Linked DNA regions of Lepisosteus oculatus. The protein of the gene in region 2 interacts with the protein of the main gene of each other region in a pairwise test. Links are inferred from orthologs where the notes say so. Each region holds a gene or a part of one and is shown on either strand. Other genes may lie near its edges.

The links.
Region 1: the proteins of mkrn2 (region 2) and rack1 interact in binary tests that used the Homo sapiens proteins (3 or more experiments, as listed by UniProt). The two-hybrid records come from large-scale screens. The link is inferred for Lepisosteus oculatus from reciprocal best matches to the Homo sapiens genes MKRN2 and RACK1.

What each region holds. Positions count from the first base shown.
Region 1 is NC_090706.1:29,976,045-29,987,001, reverse strand, and holds the start of rack1 (small ribosomal subunit protein RACK1), read right to left. Parts: upstream 4,665-10,957; 5' UTR 4,556-4,664; coding exon 4,447-4,555; intron 3,524-4,446; coding exon 3,352-3,523; intron 2,656-3,351; coding exon 2,508-2,655; intron 1,894-2,507; coding exon 1,798-1,893; intron 1,032-1,797; coding exon 921-1,031; intron 253-920; coding exon 112-252; intron 1-111. UniProt on the Homo sapiens protein: Scaffolding protein involved in the recruitment, assembly and/or regulation of a variety of signaling molecules. Interacts with a wide variety of proteins and plays a role in many cellular processes.
Region 2 is NC_090699.1:62,267,027-62,278,552, forward strand, and holds the start of mkrn2 (E3 ubiquitin-protein ligase makorin-2), read left to right. Parts: upstream 1-7,156; 5' UTR 7,157-7,241; intron 7,242-7,336; exon of another isoform or gene 7,337-7,559; 5' UTR 7,560-7,666; coding exon 7,667-7,692; intron 7,693-8,840; coding exon 8,841-8,969; intron 8,970-10,639; coding exon 10,640-10,794; intron 10,795-11,526. Other genes in the region: tsen2 (tRNA-splicing endonuclease subunit Sen2), read left to right, coding at 140-251, 958-1,047, 1,267-1,326; MKRN2 opposite strand protein, read right to left, coding at 4,368-4,599, 5,041-5,203, 5,933-5,982, 6,877-7,079. UniProt on the Homo sapiens protein: E3 ubiquitin ligase catalyzing the covalent attachment of ubiquitin moieties onto substrate proteins.

The DNA.
Region 1 (10,957 bases), on a different chromosome or scaffold from region 2:
TGTGTGCAGCATGAATACAGAAACCTTCCAGGATGATTGCAGTGATCAGCCCAAAGAAAGGCCACCGATATCCGAGGCTCTTCCCCACCCCAGTGCGTGCTCAAGCCTTACCCAGATCTTGATGCTGGGGCCAGTGGCGGCGCACAGCCAGTATCTGTTGGGACTGAAGCATAGAGCGTTGATGGTGTCTCCGCCGTCCAGGGTGTACAGGTGCTTGCCCTCGTTCAGGTCCCACAGCATCGCCTGCCCGTCCTGCAGCGCCCGGGTGCGAGAGGAAAGGTTAGGACAGGCGGACAGCGCAGGCTGGATCTGCTCAGCTTTCTCATCAACCAGCCTGAGGGGCTCAAGTTTAACTTACTAAATCTAAAAACAAAAATCAATAAAGGATGCATGCTTCTTGGTGTTCTATTTTAAACCATCTGATTAACTCTTCCAAGTGGTTGCATAAAAAAAAAACAGAATGCAGTCAAATGAAGGGAATGTACCCAAACTCAGAAACGTGCTCAGAAACAGCCTCTTTATCATCACCAAATGAAACAGATGGCAGTGAATGTTTCCATCACAGCATGAAGACAAAACAGATTTTCATGTAGGAACAATCTTTCCCCTGCCACTCTTACAAACACCCTGCACTTGCCTTACAGAAAACACTTGTGCACCAAGTTCTTCGGGTCACATCAGTTAAATGAAGCACAGCATGGTTTACAAGAGCAAATCACACTGCTTTCACAGCCTAAGAGGAGCTGAAGCAATACATTTTCACAAGAACAGCATCACGAAACCACTGCATTAACACCACCAGACTGTGACATGTACTTGCAGTCTGCAGGGTTGACTTCAGGGTTGTCCAGTTCCAGAAACTAGAGCATGGACAGATTTTCACTCCCACCCCCTCTGCCAGCTGCAGGGATTTCAGTTACCTTTCCCCCAGAGGCGCACAGAGAACCATCTGGAGAGACAGTGACGGTATTCAGGTAGCCCGTGTGTCCGATGTGGTTGGTCTTCAGCTTGCAGTTAGCCAGGTTCCAAACCTAGAAATACATTTTTTAAACACTCAGGATTCCACTCACAGGTATTTCTGCTGTTTCCAGTCCGCAATGAGCTGAACACTTGACCAAGACTGCTGATGTTCCATAGGCACATCCCATCATAATTGCAGGACTTGTCGTCACAACCTCAGAGTTCGGACGATAGGACCATGAACTGTGTAATCATTGGGATGTACATGGAAACAAAGCCTATTGAGCTCCCCCCCAAAAAAATAAATGTGCCGTAATAGTCATTTAAATGACCAGTTTCTGACTAAAGGTATTCCCCATGTCTTGAACAAGCATAATAGAAATGTGCACACCCTGAACAAGACGGCAGAAAATGAAAGACAAACTGCAGTAATGGGCAAAATTATATAATTGAATCCAAGACTGTTAAAATTCCAAAAGGAACACTTTTCTAAAGGTTAATTATTGCAGAAAGGCGACACTGCCGCTCTGTAATCAGTGCAGGTTCTCTCCTGTGCCCACAGGAACTTTGTACAGTGACCAAGTTGGAATCCTGAGACGATTAATAGGGGACCCACTTCTCAAAATCAAAAATGTGCAAGTGGAAACTATATTTAAGAGGCACATTTTGCATAGAGGACTATGGGAGTTTGGGACAAGTTCCCTTGAAGAGCCATTAGCCATCCAACACGGTAGACGTGTCGCCTATAGACTGCAATCACTCCAATAGCCTGCAGTTTCCCCGGATCAGATGTAGGGTCCTAGTCTAGAAGGCTGTTTCCAGCTGGTCGACGAGTACCTTGACCATCTTGTCCCAGCCACAGGAGACGATGATGGGGTTACTGCTGTTAGGGGAGAAGCGCACGCAGGAGACCCATTCAGTGTGGCTTTCATCCTACAACACAGAGCATCAAAATGCAAGGGGTCAGTCAACCTCAATACCCACTACTGCTCTTCTGCTGCCCTCCGCCTTCATTGGAGCAAGTCAAGCTTTATCCCAGGCTGAAAAGAAAATGGACAACACTTCCGCCGTGGAGCCCTCTGACCTGCAGAAGGCGCCACAGTCGAAACGTCAAGTCCCTTTTCTTTTTCAGCCTGGAATAAACCTTTACTTGTTCTTCTGCAGCCTACGCACGCGGACACAGCTACCCACTTGAACTTCTCCTTCACGACTGTGAATTCCACTGCGTTAAGGCTAACAAACATCAAGGCCTCGCCATTTTATAGGAACAGTCCCCACAAAACAATGCAGAGCAGCTTTCGAGTTGAGAAACGCTAAAGCCTGAAGCCCGTTTCCGATTTCCACAACGTCCCGTCATAATTGCAGGACTTGTCGTCACGGCCACAAGGCTCGGACGATAGGACCGTGAGATGTGTAATCACTGGGACACGTGTGGAAACTCCCTGCGCTTTCGCCTCCCTGCACACAGTGACGGGGCAGGTGGCGAAGGCGAGCGCACATGCTGGCCGAGTGAGAGCGCTCCAGCGGGTCACGTCGAGCCTCCTGACCTGGATGGTGTACTTGCAGACTCCCAGGGTGTTCCACAGCTTGATGGTCTTGTCGCGCGACCCGGACACGATCTGCCGGTTGTCGGCGGAGAAGGCCACACTCAGGACGTCCTTGGTGTGCCCCACGAAGCGACGGGTAGTCGTGCCTCTGCAGACACACGCAAATTCTCAGTTTACAGACGGTTTTCCTGTTTACAGCTGATGTGCAATATATGCTGGTTTCCATTCCAGCCAGTGACACAATCAAACCCTTTGTTGACTTTATAATAAGATTAATTTGAACCGTTTATTCCCAGGTCTTAAACGTGTTGGAGCTTTAACCGTTATTATTTCGCAAGTGAAATAAAGTCCCAAACTCATGATGGAAAAACAAAATGCAAATATTCAAACAAAGGAACTTCTTAGGTCAATTAAGGCTTAAATTATCTAGTGCCCTGGCCACCCTCCCCCTTAGCCTTTACAATTCATGTCTTCCTAAAAATCCCCATCTTTGAACTGGCTTCACTCTGCTCTCCTCCCCACTGAGAGCTGGTGTGTAGCAAGAGTACTGGCGCTGCATCATTCAGGTACACATTGGTGGCAGCCGTGGGATTCTCCATTATCTGTAAAGCACTTTGACTGGAGTGTCTGCCAGGAAAAGCGCTATATAAGTGTAAGGAATGAATTAACTAATGAAGGCGGGATAGGATGGAAACCCACAGGTGTGTGGGTCACTAGGACTAGGGACCACTGGCTTAATGGGGACAAACACAGCCAGTCATTGAGCGTGTGGAGATAATTGCAGGGAAGGGCGTGAAAGAGCCACCCCACCAACCTAGCCCTCTCTGCGTCCGCGCTCACTCACGTTGTCAGGTCCCAGAGGCGCAGGGTGCCGTCCCAGGATCCCGACAGAGCGAACTGGCCGTCGGAGGAGATGACCACGTCGCTGACGAAGTGCGAGTGGCCACGCAGGGCTCTCTGGGGGATGCCGTAGTTGGTCTCATCGCGGGTGAGCTTCCACATGATGATGGACTTGTCTGGAGGCCCAAGCACAATCAAACAGGTACTCAGGGGAGGGAAGAGAGAAGGCCCTGTTGCCCACTAGGCACTGCACTGGTTTAAAATTAATCTTTTCATCCCTCATCTACTACTGACTACTGCTCAAGCTTCACCTCCCATCATGCGCCTCTGCAGAAGCAGGACATGTGGAACGGATGCCCAGCAGTGTACAAACTGCACTGAGTGTTGTCCACACGCTGAACTAACATTTCTTCAAAATGAACACCAGTGCCTTAACAGAAAGTGTTATTTCTAAGGACCGAACCCAACTCTAAGCAACGCATATCCCGCTTCAAATCAGATCCAAGCTTAAATTGCGCCTCCCAACTTCTTTTTCCTCCCGGCCTAGCAGAACATCAACAGCCCAGCGATCATCTCGCTAAGGAAGCACGTTACTGTCTACCGAGAACTACACGGCTCCGCTACCGACCACTCGTCTGACGCACTTCACACGTCGAGCCGGACAAAAAGCGCCTCAGCGCCACTGACCAGACCGGGAAACGCGCCCGGCGCCACGGCGGCCTTTCGGTCCAACGCCAAGATCTGCGAGATGCTGCCCTACAGCGCAGCCGGCCTACAAGCGCGAAGTGAACCGCTTGCACAACTCTGTCCTTCATCAGCAGAAACAAAAGATCCCAGCCTGTGCCTCACGACTTTCTGAAACACACGTGTCTGCCCCCTCTGACACTCGTACCTTCTCTCGGGTCCAGGCGTCACGTTTTAATGTTGCATTGCTTTAAAAAAACGATCTTGTATTTACTAAACGGCACGTGAAAATAATTTAAGCACTTTCCTCAATCTACTCTCATGTTCACGCATTATAACACGTTTTATGCTGTAAATCACGCTACCACGTAGACCACCGGAATAGCCAAGGCAATGATGGCGGCGGCCGGGTTACCTCTGGAAGCAGACAGAATCATATCGGGAAACTGCGGGGTAGTGGCAATCTGGGTGACCCAACCATTATGACCCTTCAGGGTCCCCCTTACAGTCATCTGCTCGGTCATTTTGGCGAAGATACACGGTGCCTTTCAGGGAGGATGGACTCAGATTGAGATCGGAGGCTACCGCCGCCCTGCTCCTCTCGCTTACAGGCACAGGAAAGAGGAAGACTCGACCCGGAAGCAGAACTAAAAAAGAGCAGGCGAGGGTCCGCGGTGCATTCTGGATACAGAGCTGCCGGGCAGCTGGAGCAGGGCCCGGCGCTGAGATTGTTTCCCTTGCAGTCGTCCTCGCCTGTGGCGAGTTAGGAATAATTTGAGCTGTAAATGTTTTTGTGTTGGTTTCACCCTTCCCGTTTAAAGATCTTAAGATGTTTTGTAGTTCTCTTCAAACATAAACAGTCAGTATTTAAGTCAGTGCAGCAGAGGTAGTGGGTTTTATTTTTTTAATTAAAAACATTTCAAACTCCTAAAATTGGACATTACAATGCTAAATTCTAACTAAATTAGAAAATTATTTAATTGAGTGTTTGATATTTTTCTCTAAAAAAAAAAAAATTGTTCCCGCCCGGTTTCGAACCGGGGACCTTTCGCGTGTGAGGCGAACGTGATAACCACTACACTACGGAAACTTAGTGCTGTTGTATTCGATATCAGTAGTAGATCACACTATTAATACAATTAATATCTTTATGTGATAACGTTTGATATATATATGGAATTTTTTTATCATACAATTCCGAAAAAACAATTACAGTATATTTTTAAATCTTTCTCAAAGGCATATTTATGAATGTTCTCAGATTTAACCTCTTCAAACACGGGACACTGAACCATTTTCTTATCATGGCACTTTAAAAAACGAAAAAAACTCAATCTTTTTGGAAATATATAAATTACAGAATTATCCTCAATCTTCTAAAACGTAAAAGTTGTGAAGTACAATTCAATGCAATTGACACAGCTGTGACGCGTCTAAGTGGTATATAACAGCATTACACTTCAGCAACGGTACTTAACAATTATACTTCTGGGGAAACGAGAACATTTTATAACGGTACTATTAAAAAAACATTAAAAACAAAACAGGCCTATATTTGAAATGTATATATTTGACAACGGAGCAACATACTCTACCGAGCACATTTCGCTGCTATTCAAGGTACTGGAGCTCGAACTGAGCTTCGAAATACGGTTCAAATTCAATTTTAAAAGCGCCTTCTACAAGGCTTCTCAGCAAAACAAACAAAAAAAGTGTTTCCGCCCGGTTTCGAACCGAGGACCTTTCGCGTGTTAGGCGAACGTGATAACCACTACACTACGGAAACCTCCTCGACTCTCCCTCCAACACTTTGTGCTACTGGTTTTATAGTTAATTTCCGATGAGATGTTCAAATGTTGCCTTCTATTCTCCCCCGAAAATCTATGTCACACCGGAAATTATGATGCCGGATCAAATTCATATTTCACACGCACGATTAATGTATTTCTTGTTTAATAGGAAGAGTTACTTCACATTCCATAGGGGTAATAAAATAAAAGCAGCTGTTCCCGCCCGGTTTCGAACCGGGGACCTTTCGCGTGTGAGGCGAACGTGATAACCACTACACTACGGAAACCCAGCTGTGGCACGAACTCTGCCCGAAAGGCTAAAGCTGTGTCTGGGGTCTGTATTAAATACCCCTTTATCGTCCCTGCCCTCGCTCCGTTGTTTGGACCTCGTTCGGATTATTACATTGAACACGACATTTTTTAAATAAGAAAACTACTGCTGGAGAGTTGCAAAGTCGGAACATAACTCCCATCTGTTTTAAATACAAGCCTTTTTCTACATAAGCATGGTGCTCGCTTTTGCACATAGACGAATATATAAAACCCTGTAACGCGTATCCCACTAGGGCTCAGACTAACCCATGTGATGGCTAGAGAATGTGGTATTATAATAATAATAATAATAATAATAATAATAATAATAATTGCTTACACTTATGTAGCGCTTTTCTGGATACTCCACTCAAAGCGCTTTACAGGTAATAGGGACTCCCCTCCACCACCACCAGTGTATAGGTATAGTAACACGTACAGAGCACGTTTCTACTTAACGCATGACTCGTTTTGCAATTATACATGTTAAATTTAATGTGCTTTAATTCTGCAAAATAAATGATTTCTGTCTCATTTTCACATCAGCGTTTCTACGTCCCATAGTTTCAGATTTAATTGTAAACTGAGCTAGTTTACTATCCATCCAGTTCAGGGTCACGGGGGAACCGGAGCCTATCCCAGCAAGCAACGGACAGAATATGGGGTACCGACTGGCCAGGACGCCAGTTTATCACAGGGCGCACACACACACTCGGACCAGGGCTTGTTTTACTTCTTTACTAACTAAACCGCAGTCTGAAGTGTTGCTCTAATCCAGGAGCGACAGCGGTACACCATCTGTCTCGATGAAGGTTTCGCCCGCTGAGACAGCTTCCTGCTTCCTGTTTTCCGCTCCACAAACCAACCCTCTGCATAGATTTGTGGCATCTGTATCTCAGCATGTTCATTATCTTTATTCTCTTGTAGCTCCTTTTACACTATCTATAAAGAGTTCTCTTCCTTCTTATTTAATAACCGTTTAGTCTGAAATGTCTTGTATATCCTTAAATAAGCACGTGTAAGAAGACATGTAGCACCGTGTTTACAGATTAGCATTACCGTGTTTTAGGGCTGGGGCCCTGGGTTCAATTTCTTTCTGCAGAGTTATACACTCTCCATACATGCCTTTTAGACTCCAGATTTTGACATTTAAAAAAAAAAAAACTCTATGAAAAGTTACCATATTGGGATCAGACTTTTCTGGGGGGTCCTGTTAATTCTGTTCTCTTCATTACATCCTAGCTGTTTTGAAAAGATAGACAAAGTAAGTCACGTCTGAGAGTCACGTCTTAAGAAGCTATTATTGACTACTCAAACCATGATCATTTCAGCTTCTTGATTCTGCACCACAATCCTCCAGTGTACAAGAGGAAAATTGAAATAATCAGGTAACACAACAGCACTTTTTCTACCTATCTTCCAGATTTTACCGCTCGGTAACCTGCTCGTTCCCATCTCAGCACAAGCCTATAGCTTTGACCACAAACGGATCCTATTTGTATGTTATGCAAACCATGACCATCTCTGTACCCTCTAAGGAGCTTTAAACTGCATTTTTACCTTTAGGAGCGGTCACTGGGAGAGGACGGAGACAGTGTGGAGACTCCAGTGCTCCCAGTTCCTGCAGTGTGTTGGACACTGGTGTTGCTGGGTCACTGGGAGAGGACGGAGACAGTGTGGAGACTCCAGTGCTCCCAGTTCCTGCAGTGTGTTGGACACTGGTGTTGCTGGGTCACTGGGAGAGGACGGAGACAGTGTGGAGACTCCAGTGCTCCCAGTTCCTGCAGTGTGTTGGACACTGGTGTTGCTGGGTCACTGTGAGAGGATAGAGACAGTGTGGAGACTCCAGTGCTCCCAGTTCCTGCAGTGTGTTGGACACTGGTGTTGCTGGGTCACTGGGAGAGGACGGAGACAGTGTGGAGACTCCAGTGCTCCCAGTTCCTGCAGTGTGTTGGACACTGGTGTTGCTGGGTCACTGTGAGAGGATAGAGACAGTGTGGAGACTCCAGTGCTCCCAGTTCCTGGAGTGTGTTGGACACTGTTGTTGCTGGGTCACTGTGAGAGGATAGAGACAGTGTGGAGACTCCAGTGCTCCCAGTTCCTGCAGTGTGTTGGACACTGGTGTTGCTGGGTCACTGTGAGAGGATAGAGACAGTGTGGAGACTCCAGTGCTCCCAGTTCCTGCAGTGTGTTGGACACTGGTGTTGCTGGGTCACTGGGAGAGGACGGAGACAGTGTGGAGACTCCAGTGCTCCCAGTTCCTGGAGTGTGTTGGACACTGGTGTTGCTGGGTCACTGGGAGAGGACGGAGACAGTGTGGAGACTCCAGTGACCCAGGGTTCTGGGACTGTGGCCTATCAGGTTCACAGATTCACTGGGTCGGCAAGGGCAGGGCTGGAGAGAGGCAGTATTGCTCTCCCAGAAGCTCCTGGTGAGACGATGCTGTTCTTCACCTGGAGAGCCCAGCCCAGGAAACTCGTTTTCTACCTCTTGACAGCTGAGGACGGGCCTGCAGTCCTCACTGCCTCTGTGCTGAGGGTCTGAGCTCCGGCTCTGCAGGAAGAAATCTGCAACCTGGCACCTGTGTGTACAAAGTGTGAACACCGGGTGGCGCTGTTTGTAGCCCCCACTAGCTGTCAGATCGCTAAATTCTGCCTCTACCTCTGACTCACACTGGTGTTATTTTTGCACACGGCTTGTGCTGATGTGCTGATTTGTATTTAAGTTGTATGTTATTTAACTTTGTTTTTGCTGCTGCTGTTTTGTGTTTGTATTTGTATTTCATTGCACTTGTGTCCTCCCACATATGATATGAATTGAACACACGGTCTTTAGATATTCATAAATCCCTACATTAGCCAGAGATCGTGCTCTCTAAACAACGTGAAACGTGTCTGTGGCAGATGGGAGAAAACCCTCAGGATCACATGTGGAACATGCAAACTCCACACAAAAGGATTGCTGGTCCAGAATCAAACCCAGGGCCTGGTGCTGAGAGGCAGCAGCACTGATCATCACACCAGACCACACATCTGCAAAACTTTATTCTCAGCAAATATAGTACAGAATACAGAGCAAGTGAAACATTACACCCACAAAGTACAAATAATAAATTAAGGTATGCGTTAATTTATCCTAATTTATTAAGGTTACTTTAAGTTAAGTTAAGGTAACAGAAAATAAGATTTTTTGTTCTGTGGTACCTTAGGCCTGAGCAGATTATTTACTGTGAAACACAGCTCCTGGAGAATCTGGTGTTTTCGTTTTTTTATTCAAGCTGGTACTCATCTAATTAACACCATCTCTGTTAATACATTCAACCAGGTAGGTGCTTTGGAGGTAATTGTACTTTTGTTGAAGTGCATTTTTTCAGCCTGGAAACTTAAGAAAAATCCTTTGTATGTCTAATTAGGGAACTGATTAGCTTAATTGTTTAATTGACTACTCAGATTGGACAAAAAACCTGAAGTCACCAGGTACCCCAACAACAGAGTGTGACACCCTTGATTTAAAGGTTGTGTGTGTGGCCAGCCAGACAGAAACCTTGACAGACAGAATCGATACTTCAACAACCCAGTGGAAAATCCAGTGTTCAAGCAACCACAATATATTAATTGCCAGTCCAAGAAAATTTTTAAACACAAACACATTACCTAGAGTTCTTGAAGTGAGTGTATCAGAGAGGGGAGTGTATCAGCGTGCGTAGTCCTTGTTTCATTAAAGTATTTCAGAGTTCTGATCTGATTCGACCTCTGGGCCCTGTGTCTCGTGTCTCTGATTCGACCTCTGGGCCCTGTGTCTCGTGTCTCTGATTCGACCTCTGGGCCCTGTGTCTCATGTCTCTGATTCGACCTCTGGGCCCTGTGTCTCGTGTCTCTGATTCGACCTCTGGGCCCTGTGTCTCGTGTCTCTGATTCGACCTCTGGGCCCTGTGTCTCATGTCTCTGATTCGACCTCTGGGCCCTGTGTCTCACAGCTCTGATTCGACCTCTGGGCCCAGAGTCTCATGTCTCTGATTCGACCTCTGGGCCCTGTGTCTCACAGCTCTGATTCGACCTCTGGGCCCTGTGTCTCGTGTCTCTGATTCGACCTCTGGGCCCTGTGTCTCATGTCTCTGATTCGACCTCTGGGCCCTGTGTCTCATGTCTCTGCTTCGACCTCTGGGTCCAGTGTCTCACAGCTCTGATTCACGTCTCTGATTCGACCTCTGGGCTCTGTGTCTCATGTCTCTGATTCGACCTCTGGGTCCAGTGTCTCACAGCTCTGATTCACGTCTCTGATTCGACCTCTGGGCCCTGCGTCTCATGTCCTGAATCCCGCCTTTTTCTGTCTCTCTCAGAGGAAATCAGCCACAGCCACACTGTCCTGTGATCGTCTGTCCCCTGCTGGCGTCTCCAGACTCAGCGGAGTTTTCTCCACTGTTCAGACATGCCGGGTCCGGTCCCTGCTGTGAATGGATGGGGCTCTCTCGCAGCCTGGCGCCCAGAGCCTGGCAGGATCACTCCGGGTTCCCCTCCGCAATGCCTGGCGCCTGGACACAGGGGATCAGTCTCAGAGAGTGAGCAGACCCAGCCCCGTTGAAGCTGATACTGTTGTGTCTTTCAAGAAACAGATGGTTGAGATTTTTGGATCAATTAGCTACTCAAGATCAAACAGGCTGAGTGGGCTGAATGCCCTTCCTTCATTTGTAACCTTATGCTCTTTATGAAAGGAGCTCTTACAGTATATAGAATAAGCACCTACATATATATGCTACATGGCTATTATCGTACACATACAGTACTGGCTCAAGATATAAATATTATTTCCCATGTAGCAATGGTG
Region 2 (11,526 bases):
AGAGTATTATACTCATAAACAGAGATTCTTATAAATCTGCAAGAAATGCAAATTAATTGAACAGTATGCTTTCTGGTTCTTACAAAATGCAAATTGCAGTAATGAGGGTGCTTACAAAATATGCGGTGTGTCTTTCCAGCTACTCTGTTGTTGTGGAGAAAGCGGATGAGACATTTCAAGGGTCGGCTCTGCGGCCTTTCACCTGGCGATCCCTGGCTGCTCTAAACAGAATCACAGGCAATGTTTCGAAGGTGACTTTGGAAGCGTGGCAAAAATGCTCATTGAAATAAAATGTGCAAGTTAGTTTGCAAGATGTATTTAGGGGCTTTCGTGAAGACTTCATTATCCCCAGATAGTTCCTGGAAGTATCTAGCCGAGATGATACACAGATATTCGCTCCTAGTCCCAGAGGGCTACTGTGTCTTCAGGTGTCGGTTCCACTCTGGACACTTGGTGACTTATTGAATAATCAAGTATGTTCTATATTACCATAGTGTCCAGGTCTTTACTCATTGAGGATTTTCAGTTGTCTGTAATACCATGTGTGGTTCAGGCCTCCTGGACCAGAAGTGAATATGACTGCCCTAAGATATACTTTTTTTCCTTTTGGATATAAGGTACCTTAAGTTGCAGACCATCTGGTCATGTCTGAAAACTTCACTTTTATAGAATGAGTGAGCAAAGATGTGCAATCTATTAGTTGTCTTAGGTTACCTACTGTATAATAAACTATACAAATAAAACAAAAGGCTGGAAAACAAAAGAAGTAAATATTTTTGCATGTCTCAATTAAACACCAATATTTAGATTACAAATATATTGGAAAATTACAAAACATTTTTTAAAAATATTGTTATCTTTAAGCTATTGCCTAAAGATAAAAGCTGTTTTGTTATTAATTTAAACTTGCCAGCCGATAAGGCATTTTCTGATACAACTTGCTTCAATTGTTCTCAGGAACTGCTGCTATGCTATGTCATCAGGCCTTTGGATATGACAGAAGAAGACATGTCCACCCCTGATTGCATGAAAAGGATCAAGGTTCAGGTGGGAAGATTTCTATTCCAATTTAAATAATCCTTTCAGGATCAAAATAGGTCCTTTTAGTCTAAAAACAGAATTACTGGTTGACGGGTATCTCTCTGATTAAAGGAAATACCGAATAATGAGAGTTACAGAGAACAGAGAAAAGGATATCTCTGTGTAAATCTTCCAGTGTTTCTTATGAAGAGATTTTTTTCTTATTAATGTATTTTGATATTTCAGGAGATTATTGTGAGCAGGTGGATATCTTCTCGAGACCATACAGAACAAGAGGAGATATAGCTCCGAAGCAATAACTGCGGTTCGTTTCAGTCAACTCTGAAGCTCATGTGAGATGCAACTTTTCCTGATGGCGAGCACACACAAAAGCATATTTTGTCTGTCGTTTTTCACATTCCTTAATGTTTATTTAAAACTAAATCCTGCAATGAACGCCTACTACATAAATAAATGTGATTCCCTACCAGCATAAACCCTGCTGATCGGTTCTTAGTCTGAGTCTGTTAAAAATTGTGACATTGTATGAGGATTGTTTATATGTCAACTTGCTTCACTTCTGTGCAGGCCAAATGCATTAAATTTGTGACAAAATGGTCTTTTTATCTAAAGTCAAGTTGAGATTTCTGTGTTTGTTTTCCATTCTCAAGCTTGAAAACTATTTGGGATCTTGGGAGAACCTACAGTATTATTTTTGTGCTTGAAGTAAACTAAAGTAAAACAAACTGTCTTGTTACCTGTGTTAATGTTTGAAAAATACTTAAAAATGCAACAGATACTGGAACCAATAGCATTTGTTGCATTTTGTAATGTTTCTTTCTATGTATTAGTCTCACTTTTTCTTAGTAACTTATAATCACCAATTAGTAAAGACCTGGAAACAAGGGTAAACTAGACTGAGGAAGTGCACTCAGTCAATAACAACTCAGTGGATGTTATTGATTCAAATAACATTAAGAATGCCAGAAAGCAGAATCATCCTAACAGAGGTCTAATTCTTCTTTTGTATATATAAAATCAAAGGTAGCAGCCATTTGCTGCTGTGTAATCCTTATTAGGGCTCAGTTTAGGGAAGACCAATGGAAATCAATGCAATGAGTGTACAATTGAATTTCTTCCATAGTGCTTTACATAAGTAATTATAACTGCTTGCCCTTAAAAAAGAAAGATATTCCTTGTAAATTGTTAATTTTATTCTTATACATTTGAACACATTAAGTATAGAAAAAACAATTGGAAAATCAAACTGACAATTAAATTAAAATGCATTTTTTTGTGCAATTCAGTGTAAAACAGATGAACATTTGTGAGGAAAAGACAAAACAAGGTTATGAACAAAACATAGTTTACCTACACTTCTGCTACCAGGAAGGTATCTCGGTTTCAGCATATCCTGGACACTTTATCTCTCCATCTATATTTAATAGTAATCCGTTAAGCCTAATTGACCATTTGAGTGAAATCAAACTTAATTGGTTTGAACTCACTCAACGGAAACTTGTGAAAACTGATACGCAGTTGGAAGATTAGGAGAGCTGCTTGTGCCATAAGGTTATTCATTGTCAAAACACACATGCCCAGTATATAGAACTCAGGTGTCATTGTAGACAACAAAGGAACCCTTACTGTAATTTTAGAGCTTTGTGTCCTTCATGTGTGAAGTGATCCAAGGATAGAGGTGAATTACTGATCATAATCAAAACTATCTCCATCATGTGCAGCTTTTTTTAGAAATGGACCAGCTTTTATTTAAAATGGTAAATTCAAAACATTGTCATTATTATTTAACTTATATATTATATTAACATTATTATGTTATATAACTGTTATTTTTAACTAGGAAGTTGCCTATTTCCAATAAGCCTGCTTCTTCAGTCTGTGGTCTTTGGAAAAAGAAGAATTAGATCTTTTAGCCATTTGCAAATCAATAAAATTGTGGAAATTTCCTATTTTCCTCCCGCTCATAGCAGATAGAATGCTGTACAGAGAAAATTAGCTATCCCAGATAGAACACTGCGCTTAGAATAGAATACATTACATTTTATTTCAATATAACGGAGCACCTCAAAATACTATAAAAGTGAGCAGATATAACTATTTGTCTTTTTGATGAAACAACTTGCTCAGATGACCAGACTGTGGTGTTTGTATGATTGCTAATTGCTTCTTTCACCATACCTCACTCTCCTTCCAGCAACGCTCCTTGATGCATGACAGTTCAGCGGCTCAGCGCTTCGTTGTGGTGACACTCGGTTGTATTTTTCTTTTGTTGTGTACGTTTGCCACCTTTTTTACTAGCACAGGACAAAGGCATTGCTACAGAAAATTAATTGCATCCTGTTTCAAAAACAATCCTAAAATAACTCCAGATCCATGTCATGTCATTTGCCTACCCAAGCAAGCAATGAGCACAAGACAAGGGTACACCAGTCCATCGCAGGGCCAGTGCAAGCCAGTCACACATGGGGACAATTTGGAGGCCACGGTAAAGGCAGAGGGGGTAAATTTGGCCCGGACACCGGGATAACCCCCTACACTATCCTGAAAAGCCTGGGGATCTTTAAGGACCACGGAGAGTCAGGACCTCGGTTTAACGTCTCATCCGAAAGACGGCATCCACTACAGTATAGTGTCCCCGCCACTATACCGGGGGCTTTATGACCCACACTAACACCACTTCCAGCAGCAACCTTAGCTTCCCAGGAGGTCTCCCATCCAGGTACATGTATGATTTTATTCTGAACAGTTTGAACATTTTTGAATGACAAATTTTAAAGTGACCCGGCTCAGAGCTCTCTGTGCATCCTAGCACAACTGCATTGTGTCTTCATTTCAGCTGCTCTTTCTGCTTGACAATGGAAGCTGCAGTATCCAGCCTTTTACTTCTACATGTTTCTGAAACTCAGCAGAAAACCACAGTTATCAAATGGTGTCACAGAACCATTGAAAAATAAACTGAATTCTGCATACTTCTTACAGTATTGTGAAGAAATTCCATCACATGCACTCAAACCTCAATCAAGTCACACACCTCTTGCCCTGTAATTTATATACAGTAAAATTCCTAATATTGCAATGGCCTTCAGAGAGAGAAAAGGCATCAAAAACTAATTAATTCCATATACATGTACCATTTTACAAACCGTAAATACAGTAACATAAAATTCTGATGTGGGAAAAAAAAACATTTAAAGCACGTGTGATGGAGCAGCTGGTGGCCTGGTGTCAAAACTGAAGGACAAAATTTCCCTCACCTTTCAATTAGCCAAATGTATTTCAAATCAGGCCATTTATGTTTTCAGTGAACCACTCTGAGTCAAGCAGGTTCAGACGTAGCTGGTGTCATCTCCTTCTTTCTGAGAACCATCCACGATGTAAAAATAGTTTTCAGAAATTTCCTGGTAGAGGGTGATGTACCTGGATGCTCTCTTGGTTCTTGGAAGAACAAACTTTTCTGTGAATTCAGTCTTGCTCAGGCTGCTCTTTCCCTGTGTGGCCAGCACACAGTTGATAAAAGTGAGAGCATATGTATAGCAGTTGTGCTCTGTTTCATTGTATCTGTAAATGATAAGGAAAAGTTATCAAAGTAAAAGAAACTTCTTACTTGATTTTATTTTGTATCTTTTTATGTACATTCTATAAAACTATTTTTGAAGTGTCTCATACACAACGTAAAGCTTAAACTTAACTCCTCACTATAATCTCAGTTTCTAAATTTTGCAAACCCTATGAAACAATATTTTGCCAAACAACACATTAACAGAAGTGAAGAGGAAAACAAACATTGAAACTTATGAAAACATGTAAAAGTTAGTCTTTGTTGAAATGACAAACATTCTGATATTCCATGTGTTGTGCTAAATGTTTCTTTGTCTAAATTAAACTGCAGTGAATCAGTCTTTCTGCATAAACTCCCATAGTCCAACTTTATTCATGTCACTTAGTATTTTGAAGTAGTGTGGATTTTTCATTAAAAATCTGTTTTTTTGAAAGAAATACCTTTGTGAATGCCACATCTCTGCGGAAGAGAACTGCTCCAGGTAGCAATCCCACTGATTTATCAAACTGTACATGTCAGGCTGGACCAGGGGAACACTGACAGACTGATCCCACCCCAGCTCATCTCTACAGATGCCAGTCTCATTGTAGTTATAAACTACACCTGCAAGGAACACACAGATCTTCATGCAGCCTCCGAGCTGTTGAGTGTTTTAAATGTTAGTAATACACGTGTTCATACACTGAGAACAGTACAGGTGGCTGAAAGTATCAATATAAAAATGTTAATATACTGATTTTTAAAAGGTAAACCCTCTAAATTGATAAATGTATTCCAATTGCATGAAATAAAGTAAGAATTAAAACATTTCTAATAATAAGGACACCATCTACTTTTCATAACTTAGCAAACTGTTAAGGACTCCATAAGATATAATGACCCATGGATGATTAGCATTTTTTGTACACATTATACAATAGATGAAGAGGTTCTGTTGTTTTGAATGCAAATCAAAAGTTAGGTTTCTGTGAGATTATGTAAGCGTTATTTAGGTAGTCATACAAACTGACTAGTAACCTTTTGTTTTCCATTTTTTATAAAAAAATGGGAACCTATTGTAGGCATGATTACTCCCCCTAATAATTTCATAACCAAATGTGACCTCATCCGCTTTCGAAAGCACTTGCACATCTTTTTATCTGCTGCTGCCTGCACGTAAATTATTTTCACACTGCCGTTGTCCCATTTCATACTCCTTTCCCACTACTGCGTCAACTACAGAACATACTAACCCACTGAACTTCTGCAAGTCTGAAACTGTTTCCTGTGATATTCCATCACTGTGGAATAAATTCAATAATTGTGGTGCATTCAAAATACACTGTACAGTACCTTTAGTGTTGGTGATTCCAACGTGAAGATCTGATCTTCCGTCATACTCTCTGTGGAAGTAAGAAACTTTGAACAAAACATCGTAGAAATAACTACACGTTGTGAAAATTGACAACTCACTCAAAGCCAGCTATGTTGCTTTCTGCTACAACTTTTCACCATTCCTCATACATCTCAATTTGAGAGGAACAACTGATTTTTTCACGTTGTTTTTTTTTTCATTTGAATCTTCAAAAACGTGATCTGAACAGCTCAAAGTGTACCTTACGTGACCACAATATGTACTGTTACAGTACTAATAGCAAATCCGTCAAAGTTGCCAGTCAAATCCAAATTACTCTATTGTCCCTTGACTAGTGTTTTTTTTCTTCCCTCTACACGTTCATCCATTTAGAAGGGTATTTTATTGTAAATACAAAATGCAGATGTACTGGAATTCAACTGGTGGACTTGATAATGACTAAATTATTTCTACAACACATTACCGTCCCATTTGACAAAAACTACAGGTTATTTTGATTAATTTCAAACGACGTGACCCTGGCATTCGGTACAGTAGACGTCTGAATCTGCTGCAGAACAACTTTCGAACAGGGTTCTACAAAATGTTGGGGGAAAAAATCTTGAACAGAAAAATCTGAAACGTCCTGGCTCTCTCTGAGAAATCACAACTGATGTCTTCAACTCGAAGGCGATAGGACGTGGACTGTTCTTGCCGATGTTCAACGAAGCAATTAACGGAGTATTGTTCATTTAATAGAAACTGCTTTTTTGTTGTTGTTTACTAAGGAGTTAATTGCGGCATACAGTGCCTTTGAACAGAACATTCAGTTCCTGAAATAGAGGTTGTGCTCATTTTCCCTTTTCCCTGACACACGCCTGTGAGTGAATCACGGTCGACAGAAAACAAAACAAAATCTGCCGCACCGCTAAAGCGATCTCACCTGAGAAATTCCCCTGTCGTGGGCTTGACGAGGAACGAGCACTTGGCTCTCTGTCCGCCCGCGAAGGGACTAGGGATGCTAACCGGTGCCTCTTCAAACCGCCGGCAGCTCAGACTTTCGCCGCACTCGGGGCAGTTCTCTGGGACGAAAAAACAGTAAATGTCCTTGTCACAGTGGTGGAATTTGATAACTGCCTTCTCCATTTGGAGCAGCCGCGGACACACTGAGGCAAAACCGAGTGTCAGGCAGTGACAAAGTAACAGATCGCACCTTAGAGATCAGAGAGCAGGTCCTTCCTACGGCTGTGTGATGTCACTTCATTGACGCGATGACTGGCTGCACGCAAACCTTTAATTACATAGCGGGTGTGTTTTTTCTCTCTCTCTGTGGTTATAAGAGACGGTGAAATTGCATGGAGTGTGTTCGACACAAAACAGTGTTTTACCGGACCGTTTTAATTATGGCTTATTCTAACGAAGCGTCTGTAGATACGAGTGCGGTGGGGGTGACTGTAGTGTAATGTTGTAGTGTGCGTTAAATCGCGTTAGCAAAGTCCTGTGACGGGTACATAATTCCACTGTTAGGCCACTTTCATAAACGACAGTTGCTGTAGATTACACATTTATTTTTCCATGACTATTATTTCCCACTTAAAAGTCAAACAGGCTGTTTGTTTTTTTAAGATCGGAACCCTTGGTTGCAGTTCCTTGTTCCGGGGGGATGTAATTGAAGCGTGCACCCAAAGTATCTGGAGGAGGTACAATTCTGTAACCCTTATGGAAGACAGAACATGACTACTAAGCAAGTCACCTGCAGGTAAAAATTGCTGTTTTTCTTTGTTTTAGATATACATTTTACACGTCCATATTTAAAAAGAGTTTAGCTCTCATATTCTGAAAATGACATGCTTGAGAGCAGAGTTCTAAAGTGACGTTATGGCGTGTCGTTTACTTGACCATCAATAATTTAAGCACTGTAACGTTATACGTTTTCTAATGGAAAAGGAGAATCAAATCACTATCGTTGATAGTGGTTGACAGTGTCTTCATTATGATTTTTTTTTCATCCAATTTGATCAGGCAATCTAAAATGAGTAAGGAGACCTTCTGAAACAAGTAGAATGAGTAGACACTATGGAAGAGTTACAGTGGCTTTTTGGGCTGTTTTATTACCTGTTAAGTGTTGTTACCTTAACAATGTCAGAATTTGCTTTTAGATCTGTGAAATACTTAAGCTTTAAGCTCGAGGATCAGAAGCGAGGAGCTACTGTTGTTGTACACTACAGGTCCATTGAAATTGTTTTCAGACACTGCTGTGTTTGTCAGTGCTCTCCGTGACGTCGTTTGCAAACGAGAATTTATTCTCAGCTGTTTTCTCTGGTTAAATGAAGAATAGAAAAAGAAATACACCTCTTCAAATCGTTTAACCTAGGTAATCAGTTCTAATTCTGTAAAGCATTAAAATCAAAGGTCAGACTTTCTCTGACCAGTTTTATCAACCGGTCGTTTTTTGTAAAAAGTGGGTTTTTCTTATTGTGGGCAAAATGTTTTTTTTTTATGATCTTTTCTTCCAGTACTCTACCAAGACGTGCACAATAGCGGTAGAAGTAACCCGATAACGACAACAATACATTAAGGGTTCTTCCTGGTCATCAGAGATCACACCATTAACGGTGGTGCATTTTAGAGTAGGATATAACCCCACTAAGAAAGTAATCCTGATTGAGAATAAAACACTTCCCGTGATCTGTAAATCGATGCTTTCTCCAAAAACAAATGGATGTAAAAAATTAATGGTCTTGCGGAGGGAGATATTTTAAATGACATTTGTTCCCCAGAAATGTGCAATGTGTGTTCATGTGGGATGCATTATGTGGAATGCATGTGCTTTTATTAAAGCGTTCAAAAATCTAACTTTCCGCTCCTCGTACAGCTCATCATGACTGCTGTTTGTCTCCGTTGTAGGTATTTCTTGCATGGCGTTTGCCGCGAGGGGACCCGATGTATGTTTTCGCACGATTTGACTACAAGCAAACCCTCGACGATCTGCAAGTTTTACCAAAAAGGGCAGTGTGCATACGGAGATCGCTGCAGGTAGAAAGTTCTTGTCAGTAACCCTGTCAGTTTTTTTTTAACAATCATTCGATCCCTTTAAAGTAATTCTGAAACACAAGAGGCCTACAGAATTCATTGACTTCGAATAACTGTCATTATAACTATGCCAATACGAGCAATAATATTCAGCGAGATGACAAATCTGACGAAAGAGAACGTGTGCTAAAATGACTCTTCACACCAGAGGGCGCTAGCATCACTGAAATGATGCGTTACACGCCATGAATTAATCGCGTACACTTAGGTCGACAATGGTGATGTTTTACTATTGGTGCTCACAGGACTATTCTGTGAGGTCCCGCCATCATGTGCCAAATGTCTTAGCGTTGCGGTGCATGTAGTGCAATATTCTAAGATGTCATATTTGTCTTGTCAAGGGGAACACTTGTTTTTGTAGAGAGAAAAGCTTCCTATGGCAAGTGGTAAGCAGCACATAGGAGAAACCCTCTAGCAATTGGATGTTTTTACCCCCCCAATAGACCTGAGATCTTATTGCCGTTCGATAAAATGTATTGAATGATTTTTTTCTAGGTTATAGCTGTACCAGATTTCCCCTCAGTGCCATTCTGGACGTTCGTATATTCCGACTTGCTAAGGCATGGGAAGAAAGGAGCAATAAAATAGAATGAAAAGAAGAGCATTCAGCTTGTTTGAATCGATTAACTTTTTAATCATCCGCTAATGTAAATGTAGATTTAAGTTGACGACGATTATTTTTCTGCGTTTTTATCACAACCTTGAGTCATGTGTTTTTTTATTTGCAGTTTGCAGATAAATATTGTGTTTGCTATTAAAATGTCTTTCTAAAGATAATTTGTTTGTTTTTTTAATCTGTGATTTTTAATTCTTAAAAAAAGCTGTCGGTAGTTCATCCTGATTTTTTCTTCAGAGTTTTAAATGGTGATGCCAATCAATTTCTTTCGGAAGACAAGTCCGTTTAATAAACATTTGCCTCCTATCATCTTGACCCCTTTATAGATTTCCAAAAATAGATAAAGAATTTTGGTAAGCAAGGCTTCAGAGTTTATTTAATTCCAGTATGATTTTTCAAATGATCCCTTCTCATATTATATGCCATAAAATTAGAAGATGAGTTGTTTTTAGCCCCACGACTAAAATATATAGGTTAAGAATCTTTAAAAGGCAGTGATACTGCTACTACCAACCATCAGTATAAGATCAATAGTGTGTGGCTTTCCTGTAATGCTAGCTTACACCGATGTGATATTATTCACATTTTCCGTTTTGAACACTCATTCCATCCTAAATTTATGTATGTTTTAGAAAATCGTCTGACAAACAGAAAAGAAATCGTGACGATCTTCGTTTTATTATCGTTTAGCGTTCAGTGTATTGTCACACAGTCCAAGAAAATATGAACAAAGAAATAGAATAGGCTGGCTTTAACTCACCCTGTTCGCTTGGTTGCTAGTAATTGAGAATTTGATCGATCCATCTCTTTAATGACCCTGTGGTGTCTACCTTAATACAGTGATGTGGCCAAGGATCTGGTTCCAAGTTATTGCAGTATTCTGTGTCAGGATGACTCCTGATGTTCATCTCGAACGCTCCCTAAGATTGTTTAACAGTGCTTTTAAAACCTTTCCAAAGCAACACATTCTTCTTATTGCATGTTGTGTGTTTTGTAGGTATGATCATATTAAGACAGCTGCTGGAAGGGGGGCAGGTGCCCCCGGAGATCTCACCGAGAAGAGCTGCAGTGGTCTGGCTGCAGTTGCAGGAGCCATCCCCCCAGCAGGCTCTGGGAGACGTGGGAAAAGATCCTTAGTCTTGAGAGACAGAGGTAACACATCTCTTGCAGGAGCTTTTGGCTTCAGAGCAGCCTGGACTGATACGAGTGTGCGTGCACGCACATTTGTTTAAAGTTGTACTTTTGTTTCGTCATCCGACGGCCAGCCAGCCCCTCTTGTCTTGCAGAGTAATCTTTGAATTTTGGGAGAGGTGTTAAAGAAACAGAGGGCCAGCAATTTTATCACACAAGTCTAGTGTCACACTTCTTCCCTAAAGGGTGAGCCCGCCAGCTAGTTTTAACGAATTGTTCTGGTTTTGGTATATGTGAGTAACATATTGCAGCTGGTGTGTTTATGTTTCTATTTGGTGGCTGTTTAGACAGTCTCAAAGTGGTTTCACTCTGGAATTTACGGTGGCTATAAAGGAGAAAAAATCGTTAAGCTTTTTTGGTCCCTTAACCTCCTCAGCAGTTTGTTGTAATTGACCCTTTTCTGGTAAGCAGTGGTTATGCACTGCAAACTGACGAATCAAAAAAATAAAAAAATCCTGGTTCACCCCTGACCAAGACTGAATTATTATTACTACTCGATACCATTTTTTGTACTCTTAGGAGCATAAGCTACCCTGTCTTATATATGGTAAATGTATATCAAGTTTAAGGCATTTTCTGCATTTGTTGAAATCTGTAGTTTTATCAGTTGTAAAAATGAGTTTGTTTCTAATTCCTTTAATGGTTTAATATCTGACACTAGGCATCATAACGTCATTTGAATCTGAAGCACTG